Linked DNA regions of Elephas maximus indicus. The protein of the gene in region 2 interacts with the protein of the main gene of each other region in a biochemical or structural test. Links are inferred from orthologs where the notes say so. Each region holds a gene or a part of one and is shown on either strand. Other genes may lie near its edges.

Region 1 (7,499 bases), on a different chromosome or scaffold from region 2:
GTCACTATGAGTCAGAATCGACTCGACAGCCCCTAACAACAACAACAACCATATACCCCCACTCTGACTGGTGGGCCCAGTGACATACTGAGTCTCCTGGTATTAGTGTCCGTTGAGAGCTAGTATCCAGTAATCCCTGAAAAGTCTATTTCCTTTTCCCCAACGAACAGTAATTCTCGTAAAAGGCCATAGATCCCTTTGGAAAAGGCTGGAAGAAAGATTAACAGTACAAATTTTTAGCAGTGTAGTGGGGTCCTTCCTCAAGGGAACCTGGCCCCCCCTTCATTTAAGGGGTTTTGGGTCTTCAAACTTGCTCAAGTCTGGGAATTGATTAAAGAGCCGTGACTCTCTATTCTGACAATTCGAATTAGACTGCTGTTCGCTTGACCTAGAATTCATTTGTTTGTACGGATCAAGTAAATATTTCGAAGATTTCCTACCTATTTCACACTTAGGGACACCATGACCAAGTAGCCCACGCCAGAAGTCCATAGGAGCCAGGCTATTCTGATTACTGCTTTGGCTCCATGGTCCATTACGGTAACCATGCCAACCTTGTCTTTGTTGATTGAGCGACACCACTTGGCCCCAACCACCACAAGGTCTAATCAGCCCCATTGTAGTTAGGTGTTTTAACTCAGCTAGGGCAATTCCCACTGTCAAATCTGACTTACATAAAATAGCAATCACAGCAGTCTTTGAGGATGCTGGGGCTCCCCTTCACAAATTTGTTCCTCACCATTGTGGTAAAAGATGTATCCTCTGTGCACTCCATGTGTGGGTCTGTGGGTCTAACCTGATAAATCCACTCTAGCATGCCAATTTTCCTAATCCTGTGGATTCCTTCTTCTATAGTATGCCAAGGCAGGTTTGGTACTTCAGCTTGATTTAGTGTAGGCCACAGCATAATCCACGCTTCAGTAACGCAACCAAATAAACTATTAGATCCTTTCCTAACCTCTTGAGTTGAAACATTTAATGAAGTATCTGTACTTAGTGGGCCCATATCAGTAAATTCAGGCTGATCCATCCTTATCTTCCTTGCACCATTATCCCACACCCTTAATAGCCATTCCCACTCATATTCCCTAGGTTTCTGTTTGTACCCATTAGAAAAGTCAAGCAGTTTTTTTGGAGTGTTGCGTACCTCCTCCTGGGTCACACTTTGTACTTCACCTTTTGGGGTTCCCTGGGAATTTAGCCTAGAAGCCAAAATGGATGGTGGGGATATGTTTTGGGAACATTCAGCATTGTCTTGTAAGGCATCTGCCTCAGGCAACACCCCAGGCAATGACTCAGACAAAGTCTCTTCCGATGTAGCTGGGTGAATCTCAACAAATGGCGGTGGAGAGGTTAATGGTTTTACCAGAGAAGGTGGCTTATCGGATAAAGATGGAGTAATTGCTTCAAATGGGAGTGGGAGGGCTAGTTCTGTTAGCAGGAGTGATTCAACCAAATTTAGGGGCTCAGGGTCCCCAGCTTCCTGATTATCTGCCCATATGTCCCCATCCCAACTTTCAGCATCCCATTTCTGACCAATCAATGCCCTCACCTTAACTTCAGACATCACTTGAGGTTGGGAATTCAGTTGGTGTTGTAATTAAGCCACTTTTACAATAAAATTCTGGGCTTAGTTTTCGGCAATATCAGCTCTATCCTACAGGAAATAAAGTTTTCTTTCAAGACACAAGTGGAAACTTTGAGGTCGTTTATGCAGCGCTTGAGCTTCGACTCTGAGCCCCTGAGCTCATCCCTTTCTTTTACTACTTTGTCTAGAGAAAGTAGGACCAACCAACGAGCTTCCTTATACTTCTCATTATGACAAAATTGTAGAGAGGTACAAGCATGTGATGACCCTGAGCCTCACCTCTCACCAATATGTGATCTATTGGTGGTGATATTTTGCCTATTTCTATTGCCACCTTACGCCATGGATTAGCAGTGCCCTCTTTACCACCGGAAGCAGGGTCATCAATGTCTTTAAGACTAACCAGACTTGAGAATCAATTTAGAAAACTCATCCTTACAATTTTGTTTCTCTAGAACCACTCTCAGCGTCTTATGCTGGGCTCTCTAGAGAAGCAAAACCAGTGAAGCATCTGTCTGTACATAGATAGAGAGAGGGCTTTATATCAAGTAAGTGGCTCATGAAGTTGGAGAGGCTGGAAATCCCAAGTCCATGGGTCAGGCTAGAGGTTTCTCCTGACTCACATAGCTATAGGGGCTGGTGAACCCAAGATCGAAACCACAGAAGCTGACGAACCCCAAGATCGGCAGGCAAGCTGCTAGCTCAAGTCCGAAGAACCGGATGTCAGGTGAACAGGAGCCAGCTGCAGGATCCAGAGCGAGCAAAAGCCTAAGAGCCTTGCCAGAAAGTCCATCTATATTGGATGCAGGCCACAGCCCCAAGGAAACTCCCTTTCAACTGATTGGCTACTCACAGTAGATCCCACCATGAAGAGATCACACTACATAAGATTTCATCATGGAGGTGATTATACATCATTATACAACTGCCAAACTACATCATAACTGCCAAACCACTGAGAATCATGGCCCAGCCAAACTGACACACCACCTTAAAGATCACAGTTGGGATCATTGGATCATATGGCAATTCTATGTTTAACTTTTTGAGGAACCACCAAACTGTTTCCCACAAGTCCTGTTCTTTACAGTCACTTCTGAATGAAGCCTGAGCCTCAGTCTCCGCATCTATAAAATGGGGATAATAACAGTACAATAGCACTGTCTTGAGAATTAAATGAGATAATGTATGCAAACAGTGCCTGGCTCATAAGTTATTATCCATTCAGCTAAGAGTGTCTTCCATTGTGAAGCCTTGTGCATACAACTCTGTGTTAGCTCTCACCATACTCTGTTGTACCTACTTACTTACTTATGCAGCTGTCTTAGTTATCTGATGCTTCTATAATGGAAATACCACAAGTGGATGGCTTTAACAAACAAATTTATTTTCTCACCGTTTAGGAGGCTAGAAGTCTGAATTCAGCATGTTGGATCTAGGGGAAGGTTTTCTTTCTCTGTTGGCTCTGGAGGCAGGTCCTTGTCTCTTCTGAGCTTCAGCTCCTGGGCAATCTTCATGTGGCCTGGGATCTCTCTTCCCCAGTCTCTGCTAGCTTGCTTTTAATCTCTTTTATATTTCAAAAGAGAATGATTTTAGACTAACCTATCCTATTAACATAACAAAGACAACCCATTGCCAAATGAGATTATAACCACAGGCATAGAGGTTAGAATTTACAACACGTTTCTTTTTATTTTTAGGAGACACAATTCAATCCGCAACAGCAGGTATCTCCCAAACTGAGCGCTTGAGGAGAAAGACCATGTTCTAATCCTGCCTGTGTTTCCTGTTCCCAGGAAAAAGCCTAGCACACATTAAAAACCAATTGCTGTGGGGTCGAGTCCTAATCATGGCGACCCCATGAATGTCAGAGTAGAACTATGCTCCATAGGATTTCAAGGGCTAATTTTGGGGCAGTAAATCGCCAGGCCTTTCTTCCGAGGCACCTTCAGGTGGACTCGAACCTTCAGCCTTTGGCATTTGGTAAGTGCGGGCAGAAGACTGAACCCAGGAAAGATGCTATCAAAGTGTTGACCCCTTGGCCCAGTACAGGATATACCACGTTGGACCTCAAGAGGGCCCTGTATGTTCCTTACAGAGAGGCGGGGCTGCTGGGAAAGGAGGACCCAGGGAGGCCGGGACCAGCACAGGCTTCCCCTTCGGCCCCAGCACGAATCATCTCCCGGTACCTCTTTTTAAGGAATCCCAGTGCGAAGAGAGTCGCTTTCTCAGCTAGATGTCCAAAGATTCCTGCTCGGTCAAATGAGCTAGATAATAATGAAAATGTTTTGAAAACGGCACACGTAGACGCTAGCTGTTAGGGCTTTGACTCCGTGTTTTTCAACTGGAGGAGGCGCTTGGATCTTTGTGGAAGTGGGAGGGCCGTATGTCTATATGAGGGATTAATGTAGGCTCGCATCCCGGTTCAGAATTTTGCAAATAATCATCGTCTGGGTCACCGTCATGGAAACTGTCCAAGAAGACTGATTGCTGGAGGGTTGGGGAGAGACTAGGGACCCACAAGACCCCCTCAGGGAAAGTAGGGAGAGATCAGGACAGGTGAAACAAGCACCTTTGCGAAGAAAGTTTAGTTGGAAGCTACCTGGACAATTCAGAGAAGGAAAGGGTTAAAATGAGCCGACAATTGGTGGAGATTTGGGGAGGGAGCAAGGGAAAGGGAGGAAATTGGAGGGGAAAGAAATTAAAAGGCTCGAAGGACCTCTGGGAAGAAAGGAGTTAACCCAGCCTCCGACCCTAGAAGGAAAGGGAGGAGTTAAAGATCAGAGGCGGACTGGCCGCGCCGCCCTCCGAAAACAACAGGCCGCCGCGGGCTGGGACGGGGTTAAGCAGGCGGGCCCAGAGGGAAGCCACGTGCCGGAGCGGAATGTTAGTGGTTCTCCCGTAGTTGTTTGCACATGGCCATTGGCGACGTCGGGGCGCCACAACGAGCCGATTGGCTGGGGTTCAGAGGCCCCCCCCGGGCCAGGGGAAGCTGGCGGCCGAACCGGGTTGCTGAGGCTGGCTGGACCGGGCTGGGCCGAGCCGAGCGCGACAGCTACGCGTGCTGTGACAGAGTCGGAACCCGAGCCGCGGCCGCCGCCATGCGCTGGGTCCGGGCGCTGCTGAAGAATGCCTCCCTGGCAGGGGCGCCCAAGTACATTGAGCACTTCAGCAAGTTCTCCCCATCCCCGCTGTCCATGAAGCAGTTTCTGGACTTCGGTACGGAGAGGCGGGAGGCAGCTGGCACCGGGGCACCGAGAGGGGCAGCCGGGGGATGATTTGGGGGTGATTGGAGGGGTCTAGACAATGAAGGATTAACGAGGAGGAGAAGAGAGGCCCTGAGTGACGGAGGAGGGTTGCTAGGAAGGGTACAGGCAGGAAAAGGTTAACGGGGAGGAAAGGGAAGACCGAGGCATGAAAGGGTTAGGGGCGCCCCAGCTGAAAAGAGACTGTGAACTGAACTACTAATGGGAAGGGGGAGGGGGGAGGGCACTGAGAACGATGGGTCCAAGGTTTCTTCCTGGGCTTTGTGAGGGGTCTTGGGGAGTAAGGGACGGGGGAGGGGGGGCCATTAGGGTAGGAAGGGAGTAAGGTGACATTCTAGCACTAAAGGGTTAATGTGGCATTATGATGACTCTAAGAATGGGGGATAGAGAGGAAATGGGGGGTGCTAGTGGAAGTAACAAGGAAGAGTTGGGGAGGGGTAGCCATCTGGAAGGAGGAGACCTGGGCTGGGCATGGAAAGGTTAGACATTCCTGGATAGACTGAGAGAAAAGCAGGGAGCAGTTGGAGAAGGGGGCTCTCTCAGAAGAAGATGCCAACCAGAGAGGGAGCTCCTGACCAGTAAACCCAATGAAGGATGAAGGATGTGGCTCCCAACCATCCTGGTGGGCAAGGACACTTGAAGATCAAATCTGCCCCAGCCTGGCACCCTGTCCCTAGCTTGGCAGGGCCCTAGCACCATAAGGTGAAGTCAGGTCGCTTGTACCCACCCTTGGCTGCTTCTGGATTCTTGGGCCAGAATCACCCACCACCAGCATCTGGAGGTAGCTGTGGGGCAGGAGCAAGGCGGTACCAACCTGCCAGTTGAAGCAGGCATTGTGTAGGCTCTGTCTGTCCACACAGTATTTCCATGGTGCCAGCTGGAGGTTGGGAGGGGGTGCCCAGGTCTCTGAAGGAGCCCTGGGGGTGCTGTGGTTAAAGTGCTTGTCTGCTAACTTAAAGGTCAGCAGTTCGAACCTATGAGGTACTCCGGGGAGAAAGATGTGGCAGTCTTCTGTAAAGATTTACAGTCTTGGAAACCCTATGGGGCAGTTCTGCTCTGTCCTACAGAGTCCCTGTGAGTTAAAATCTATTCAGTAGCAATGGGTTTTGGCTTCTCTTGGCCCAGGTCTCTGAAGAGTTGAGAAGATAGTGCCTGGCTCAGGTTACAGCTGCGTCACTGACAGGAAGGGGCGGGGAGGGGGCAGTCAGAACACAAGGGCACCTGTTGCCCCAGACTTGTTTGCCCACCTCCTGGGCTTTTGAATCTTGAGCTTCCCCAGTATGGGAAAGCTTCTTGGGCCCACCACTAGCCCCAGCAACTGTCCAGCCCAGACTGGGCCCCAATTAGAAAATGTTGCTGCTGGGAGGGGCCCACAGTAGAGTTCAGTCTGTTCGTAGTATAGTGGGAGAAACAGACCTTCAGAAAGATGGTGACACACTCTGAGTGACAGAGTTGGAAGGAGAGCCTGGACTAGAACCCAGGTCTCCTGACTCTAGGCCATGGCCTTATTCAGACTTCCAAGCCCTCTTCTTAAAGACAGGCCTCGGTTTGGGGCTGCTGTCCTTGGGCCCTGTTTGCCTTACAGGCAGGCATTAATGCAGGGTGCCACTCTGCAGTGGGCATCAGGAGCAGCCTGGAAGAGACCACACTGGGACCCTGCAACCGCAGTGGTCCCGGTTTAGTCCCCCACCCTGGGTAGGGATAGATTTCCCAGACTGCTCTGCCCACCTGGATCAATCCCCCAAAGTGAATGTCCAGAAGAAAAGAGAAGACTGAGGTGACTTAGGCCAGAGGCCGCTCCAAGTGGGCCCAGGGATGGGTGGCCCTGTCCCCCATGGTTAAAGGTTCACCTGGAGGTGGGGAGAGGATGCAGCCCCCTGGAAGGTTAGGCATGGTGTATGGAGGTTTGAGCATGCAGGGGAGGAGACCTGTGTTGCTCTGTGCTCTTGGTCAGGCTGCTTCCTCTCTGAGCCCTCAGTACACGAAGAGCCTGACTGACCTGTCCTCTGGCTCTTCTAGTTTGAAGTTCTTGGGCTCACCCCTCTCTCCTTCCCCCAGGGTCCAGCAATGCCTGTGAGAAGACCTCTTTTACCTTCCTCAGGCAGGAGCTGCCGGTGCGCCTGGCTAACATCATGAAGGAGATCAACTTGCTTCCTGACCGGGTGCTGAGCACACCCTCGGTGCAGCTGGTCCAGAGCTGGTGAGACCCCTGGCCAGGGCCCTGCACCCTCCCACTCCATTGCCAGGTGTCCCTGGGCTCAGGGATGGAGGCTCCATGCTCCCAGCAGCCTTGATGGGGTGGGGGCAGAGCAGAGGCACAGGGGCTCAGGGGGCCAGGGAATTGCCCAAGGTCATGTGGGAGTCCTAGGCCAGAGCAGGGACTAAGATCCAGCTCCTACCCTCCAGTGTCTACGGGACAGCCTTATATTCACCATCCTCCTTTCTCCAGAAACCCAGGATCCGTAGTTTGGGTAAATCATAGTTGGCCCAAGTCCTGGGACCTCGTGGTTTTCACAGCTAAAATTCCAAATCAGACTGATGTCAGCATTAGCCACAGCCCTGGCCCTGGAAGCCCAGCATGTGCTATGTTAGGCTTTGCCTTTGTTGAATATTTATCTGGGTTTACTTTTTGGAAAACAGAGAAA
Region 2 (7,732 bases):
GCCTGGCATATTCGGTACTTAAAATCCCTGTCCAAATGTAGACTGTGGGTCCTTCTGGAGTTCCTTGTCCATGGCAACACAGTGTTTTGTTTTACTCTGAGGACAACAAACCGAAGGCCTTAACCAGTGGGGATGGACAATCCCGCCTGTTTAGGGGCATGGCTGCTATAACCTGGAATCTAAGAATTGGATGCTTCACTCCTGTGTGTTACAGTATTATTTTAATTGGCCTCAGTGGTTGCAGCAATCAGAGTCCCAGCATTTGTACTCACAGACAAGGCAAAGGTACCAGCTTTTCTGCTTCCTTGCAGCTATTGCAAACCAAGAATAACTCATCATGTGGTACCAAAGATGAAGGCCCCACCCTTCATTAATCTTTTGGACTGGACATGGTTGTTGCTGAATTGTTGATTGGATGGGAAAAGGGCTGCCCATGTTGTGCTATACTATTCTCAAAACCACAATTAAGACCTTAGGCTGACTCTTGTGTCTTAACTTGTTCTGCAGTTTGTCCTTTAGCCCAAATGGCATATTTCATGTACTGCTAATTTTCTCTGGGGACTCTTAACTTTAGAGCCATTTTTTTTTCCCTCCAGCTGATGAACTTTGTGTTTGAAAGGAATAAGGAGTGAAAAGCTCCTTAAAAATCCAGGCGGGTATGGAAAGGTGCTGCTACCACATCTTCTTGACTTTCTTTCTCTCGTGACTTTCTTTACCCATCAGGCTCATGGCATCTCCTTTGCAGTCAAAAGGAGACAGACCATTGATTTTATGTTTCTTTGTGATTTATGAGTATTGAGCATGAATTACTGGTATGCCCCTCCTCATCTCAAGACCAGTAGTTATTTTCTATTATATATTTAGTATAGACTGAGCCTTTAGGGCACTATAGAAACCACGGGGCATGGAGCATGAGTTGTGAATGGCAGGGTTGATTCTGGGTGAAAAAAAACAGAATCCTTTTTCATATGCAACATTTTCAAGTGTAGAAACTAAAGGAGTGAAACTTCCAGCAATTACTTAGTAACTTAGGTTTTCTCATTCACTCACTAAGTATCATCAACCAATTAACCATTATTACATATGGTATTCCCAAAAGCATTCTGCCTCTGGCCACCAATGTACACTGCCAACCGGAAGAGTCAGACAGATCAGTTCTGGGTTCTTGACCTGTCTGTCTCTAGTTCATTTCCCCCTTTCAGCCATTTCAACAGACTACTCTTGGAGCTCCGAGATGACCTCTTGTTGTTTTATATAGATGTGTCTTTTTAAATAGCTCATGTTTGGAGAATTCTTTTGTACTCATTTGCTTTTTGTCTGAGAACCATGTCTGTTTTTATAACTTGCGTGTGAGTTCTGTATATTCTCCCATTCTGTATACTGTATCCATTTTTTAGGGAACCCAGTAGCTTTTATACAGGCTCTTCTTACCACCCCTTGTAGTGTCAGAACAAGCTTTATTTTATTACCATGTACTGATGACAACTACTTCCTGTTCTAATTCTACCTGCCAATTTTAGTTGTGGAGGCAATGTTATGTAATCCATGTGATTGCTCCTTCAGGAGACAGAAAGAGCTCAAAAGACATCTTAGTTTCTTTCGTTGTTGTTTACCTGATATTCTTGCTATTGAAGACTTTCTCATCAGAAATTGACTGGGAAAGTAAGTCAAAAGCAAGAATAATTCATTGTGAAAGAAAACAGTACCTTCTCAGTTTATTTTACCCAGGAAGTCTGGAGAAAAAGTCCTCCTGTCACAAATTTCCTTATTGTATGTGTTTTAGTGTTTTGCTATACGACAGCATGAGGATTATCAGACCAAAATTTGTTATTGTAATTCCAGTACAATTTATCTTGAATGTCTCCTAGATTGGTTTTTACTTGCCAGTCTTCTTTGAGCAAACAGTCTTACTATTTGGAATTTGACTTTTAAGAGAAAATTAAATCAGAGGTAATTTCAGGGTTCCTCTACTTTGTTTTACATTGTGTTATCTCTATGTCCTTTGGAAAAGGAGCTGCGTGGGCTCAGCGCCTCCGTCGAAAAGTAAAGCTGAGTTCAGGGGAAGAGGTGAGACATTTTTCCCTCTAGCTGGTTTAGCATAGGTAGTGACTAAGCATCCCTAGTGTGTGATCTTTCATGTAAAATGTGTTGGTGATCCTCCTTCCAGTTTCTAAAGGGAGAGAAGCCTTCTGAGGAGGCATGCTCATTACTTATTCTGTTGTAATCGTCTATTTGCATGTACTATGTGGCTGCACTCTAAGTCCTTGACTTATGCATTGTATTGCCCCCCCCCCCAAGAGGTATTTTGTAGAATAGTCTGTCCTGATACTGCTGGCATTCTCTTTCCTTGGGAAAATTAAGGAACCAGAATGTTTAGATTTATAAAATAATCTCTAAGTCACTTTAAATTAAAAAATAAGTGACCCTCAAATATAAACTAGTAAAGAACTCAATTCTTTAAAAAGTCTTCTTTAAACCTGATGACTGTTCTCTTGCTCAGTGGAACACTTTACAGTTTGTGCCTAAAGAATCCGTGTTAAGTTCACTTGATGATGGCAATTCTACTTACTTACCAACTTTACAGCTCTTTTTGACCAGGATGGATGTAAATTAGGGAAACTATCTCCATGCAGTACATCTAAACTAAGAGGACTCTACCAAAAAGCACTTAGGTCATCATTGTATTTATTTTCATTTTTTCCATAAAACGAGCATTATTATTGCACACTCCTCCTATGTCTGAATTTATGTAAAAGGTATAGCTTGCTTAAAATACATATATATGTAAAGTTATATTTTCTTAGAAACATGGATGTTTGCAACCATTGCTTTCAAAGAGATTATTTCTGTGTATTCTCCGTTTTATGGTATGTTTTCATAAAGATTGTGTTATATCAGAGGTTTCTGATTATCAAAGTGATAACCAGTTTTAACTGCCTGTATGTACCAGAGATTTGTGTACTAATTTAAAAAAACAAACTATGAAAAAAATGGAGTTTGCAAACTATTAATCTTTATCTTCACTTGCATTTATTGATGAAGATTAATCAATAAACCATTTACATTTAATGAAAGTAAATCTGAAGTGATCTCCATGGTAGTATGTTTACTCTCTACTTGGAGAGTGAAGATAAGGATTACTTTATTGCCACAGATAATTTGCTACTGGTATTTCCATGTAAGCACAAAATAGGTTATTCTATCAAAGAGAATTCACTGATTTAGTGCTTCGTTTGGAATTATGTGCAAACAAATGAGAACCTGAGGGTGTAAACTGTATGACAAGTCTCTAATGCAAAAGCAAGAAGCATTCATAAAAGTCTCTTTCAGAAATGTGTATTTAAAAGAAAAAGAATGCCCAAATCAGTTTGAAAGCTGAACACCCAAAACTTAAGCGGGCTTCATTTATCACTTCAAATGAAATGTTCTAGATATATAAATCTTTAGCACTGGGGAAACCCTGGTGACCTAGTGTTTAAGAGCTACAGCTGCTGCTAACCAAAAGGTCAGCAGTTTGAATCCACCAGGCGCTCCTTGGAAACTATGAGGCAGTTCTACTTTGTCCTATAGGGTTGCTATGAGTTGGAACTGACTGAAGGCAACAAGTTTGGTTTTCGGTTTGTAGCCCTGAGAGCCTTCATTTGACTTCCAATTTCCTGTTTTTAATTATTAATTATACCAACTATCATGAAAATGGTGAAGGACCAGACAATGTGTAGTTTTGTTACACATAACGTCGCCATGAGTCAAAGCCGACACTGGACAGCAACTAACATTACTAAGCTCTGGTGACATATTGAAGAACAGTACACAGACAAGATCCCTGCCCTCATCAGCTTATAGTTTAGTTTTGGTATGAAGTATTTAAAACATAAAACTTTTTGCTGTCTAAACGGATTCTATGGTAAATTTTGAGTTAAAGCAAATCTGTTTCATAAACCTTTATCTTCATACAGAGTATATGCTTAATCCCCCTGAAGTACACCTGAATATGGGATTGTGTCTTCCACTTGGCTGCGGTTCGCACCATCTGGCTGAAAAATCAGTTCATTCGGTGGGTTTCTGTTTGGGATTAAATCTTTAAATCTTTGCAATAGGGTCGCTATAAGCCTGAATCGACCCGACTGCAATGGGTTTGATTTGGGGTAAGCCAGTAAGCCGTAATATATATTTATATTATAATTATATAGTAAGCCTGCGCGGGGCAGGGCCCCAAGCCCGGTCACCGTTGGGCACCGTCGGATCAGGAGGGTGCAGGACACTCGCCTGGGCCATGCTGAGCGCCCTTCTTTACAGAAGCGCCCCAAGACCCCGCCCGTGGGCCTGAGGCTCGCGATGCAGGGCCCTTCCACAACACCGGCCCGCGCGGCTCGGCCGCGCCTCTCAGGCCACTGCGCCCCACACCTTGCGAGGCCTGCCCGGTGCGCCTCTCCAGGCCCCTCCCTTCTGACTGGGCCCTTCGCACCTCCTAGGCGCCGTCCTAGCCTTTGGAATGCCTTTCCTCCGACGCCCTGCCTCCCACCTCCCTCCACCTCCTACTTTTTTCCAGGCTTCGGCTGCGTTGGCTCAGCGGGAACGACCCGCGCCTGCGGCTCCGAAGCAGCCCCCGCGCCCGCCCGAAGGACGCGCAGGCCGCCCGCCCGCCCCTAGCCTGGGGAGGGGCGCGGGGGAATCCTCGGGGCCGTTTACGACAACGTGCGGCTGCGCGGCGCGGCTGACGGCAGCGTCGGGTTGCTCTTGGAGAGGTCACTCGGAAGAGGGCGTTGGGTTTGGGGAGTGGGGGTCTGTGGCGCTATGTGGCGCGTCTGTGCCCAGCGGGCTCAGAGTGCAGCCCCGAGGGCGGGTTTCGGGGCTCGGTGCGCAACGTTAAGGGAGAGACCTGGACCTCTGTGCGCGGCCCCGCTTTCTAGCCCGGCTCCGGCGCTTTGCAACGGCACGACCACCGGCTATGGCGGGGTCCGGGCACTCTGCAGCTTCAGCCCCAGCTCTTGGCCCACACCGCGGAACCGCTTTCTGCTGCAGCTTTTGGGGTCACGCGGCCGCCGTTGTCATAGTCTCCCCCCTCATCAGAAGGTGAGCCCCCGACTCGTCCTTCGTGGACCCCGTTGTTCTTCAGGGCAGACTTGGCCTCGAAACCTCCCTCAGGCCTCAGTGATCCTCTCCCCGCCTTGCACTATCTGTCATTGCCCGCCTGCTAACCCAGTTTTGCTGTTGAACTTCCCTCTCCTGATCTGTCCCATTGAGTGAAGAGCCCCAAGCCCGGGGCTTTATGCGAAAAGCCTGCTGAGGCGTTCTCTGTCAGACCCACAAAACTGTGGAGCAGGAAGCCTGTCACTGGAGAGCATGAGCTTCTGGCAGCAGGAACTGTCATTGTATCTTCAGTGCCAGCGTGTAGTGGGACTTAGTAAACTTCGCATTAGATGAGATCGGATTGAATGAAACCTTACACCAGACTGAGAATTAGGTCACCCTTTTTAAGGTTGGCGTTTCTCCTTTTTCTCCTCTAGGTTCCATTGCCTTCCCTTTCCCCCACAATGCAGGCAGGCACCATAGCCCGTTGGGAAAAAAAGGAAGGGGAAAAAATCAATGAGGGTGAACTAATTGCAGAGGTAAGTTGTCGAAGGGACTGCCTAAGCTAAACTGAGCGTTAGGTTTCTGGGTGAGTAGTTACCTGCTTTGCTTAAGACACTATTTTGGTATTTTTTCAGCTTGGAATTAGAGAAGATTTATTAGATAAGTTGTCAGCAGCTGTCCAAACTGATTTTTAGCTAACATTTCTTTTAATGATTCCTTCTTTGAGATCTGTGATAGAGGCTTTGTCACACTGTTGAACTGTGTAATTTCAGACATAAGCTAATAAACTTCATTCTGGCTGCACAAACTGACACTGCTTTTGGTGTTAAAAGGTCGAAACTGACAAAGCCACGGTTGGTTTTGAGAGCCTGGAGGAGTGTTACATGGCAAAGATACTTGTTGCCGAAGGTACCAGAGATGTTCCAGTTGGAGCAATCATCTGTATTACAGTTGAAAAGTGAGTGGTACCCTGAGTATTGTGGAACTTTAGTGCAGAGTGGAGCATTTTAACCCAGAATCGAGAAATTAGGAGTTAAAAAGCTTCTCAAGACCACTTCTCTGGGAGCTGAATCTGCTTTATAACCCCCTTATATTTATGCCTTCTTTCTCTTCCTTAGACCTGAGGATATTGAGGCCTTTACAAATTATACTTTGGATTCCTCGGCAGCACCTACCCCACAAGCAGCCCCAGCACCAAGCCCTGCTGCTGCTGCTTCACCACCTGCATCTTCTGCTCAGCCTCCTGGTAGCTCATATCCCACTCACATGCAGGTGAGGCTCAGCCTCTGAGTGTTTGCTCTAGAGAATTTAGTACTTATTCATCGTTTTTCGTAGATTGCTGCCACATGCTGGAAAGTGGTATTAAACGTGGCTGACTCTTGTCATTTGGGAATAAATAGAGATTTAAGCATGCAAACAACTTGTATTGATCGTTGTTATGTCCAGGTGTGTGAACTTGGACAGCTCCTTTAACCCTTCTGAGCCTCTCTGTAGTGTAGAGAATAATGTTTGAACTTCTTATTCAAGAGCATTAAGTTACAGATCTTGAGGATGATTTGTACTTGTCTCTATTTCCTGTATAAATAGTTTTATAGTGGGTCTCCAGTGCTGTCCGTTGAAAGTCCCCAGTTGGTGTTTTCCTTTGGCATGTGGTGATCTGTTTTCTAAGAGCGGATGAAGTAATCTTGTAGTGTTAATAAACCAGAAACCTGACAATAAAGAAATGTTAGAATAAATATATAATAGCATTGCAATAAAGCTGAAGACAATAAGTGGAATCACTGTTGCATCTATTAACTAAATCAGTTTCTTAGATATTAGAGTTATTCCTTGTGTATTTGTGTGTTTTAGAGATTGGAAATGGAAAAAAAAAAAAGCCACTTTTTTTTTTTAAAGGATTAAGGCTAAAGGTAAAGAACTTTACCTTTGCTTAGTTTATTTATAGGAATTTCTGTGTAAGAACTATTTTTCCCTTTGCACATAATGGTCTACTCCCTGGCCTGTTGATAACAATCATTTTTGATGAAGTTTTGCGTGGTGTTTAGTCCACATGCTTACTTCATCCTGTTCAGCGGATTCTGTCTCACAACGTAAGATCTCGTTCAGTCCTCACCATTATGTGTCTATGGCTTTGTATGAAAGTGCTAGAATTGTGCCTTAATTACCCTTTCAGGTTCTCAATAGAGATTTTTGGGTTAACTAATTTTAAGAAGCAGATAAAGAACAAGAAAAGCACTTAAAAAAATTTTTTTTTAATTAGCATTAAAAGGCTTTACTTTTTTCCTTATCTGAGGCATCATCGATTGAAATGATTTTTCACTCAGCATAGTCCTGTTGCTAATTAGATACGAAAGACTAAGAAGACAGCAAGTGAACCCACAGAAACTGAAAAAGCATCCAAATTTAGTGGACACACAAACCATATAAATAGCAAAGCAATTTTTTATTTAGATCAGCCCATCTGATGTTTGGATTTTGTTGGGGTGGAAGTGACTATTGTGATAATAGTTCTGAATGTTAGTTTTTTTATCTTGGAAAGATATCTGGGAAGTTGAGAATTTCCTGTGAGTGAAAAGACAGATGCTAGGTACAGAGCACAGTAAAATTTTAACAGCATGGTCTGTGCTAAGATCATTGTGTGAAACTGAAAAATTTCAAC

Evidence for each region.
Region 1: the proteins of DLAT (region 2) and PDK2 form a complex in vitro, tested with the Homo sapiens proteins (2 studies listed by BioGRID). The link is inferred for Elephas maximus indicus from reciprocal best matches to the Homo sapiens genes DLAT and PDK2.

Annotation. Positions count from the first base shown.
Region 1 is NC_064837.1:43,535,247-43,542,745, reverse strand, and holds the start of PDK2 (pyruvate dehydrogenase kinase, isozyme 2), read left to right. Parts: upstream 1-4,482; 5' UTR 4,483-4,503; coding exon 4,504-4,807; intron 4,808-6,912; coding exon 6,913-7,054; intron 7,055-7,499. UniProt on the Homo sapiens protein: Kinase that plays a key role in the regulation of glucose and fatty acid metabolism and homeostasis via phosphorylation of the pyruvate dehydrogenase subunits PDHA1 and PDHA2.
Region 2 is NC_064825.1:6,860,643-6,868,374, reverse strand, and holds the start of DLAT (dihydrolipoyllysine-residue acetyltransferase component of pyruvate dehydrogenase complex, mitochondrial), read left to right. Parts: upstream 1-4,729; 5' UTR 4,730-4,794; coding exon 4,795-5,073; intron 5,074-5,507; coding exon 5,508-5,609; intron 5,610-5,906; coding exon 5,907-6,031; intron 6,032-6,191; coding exon 6,192-6,345; intron 6,346-7,732.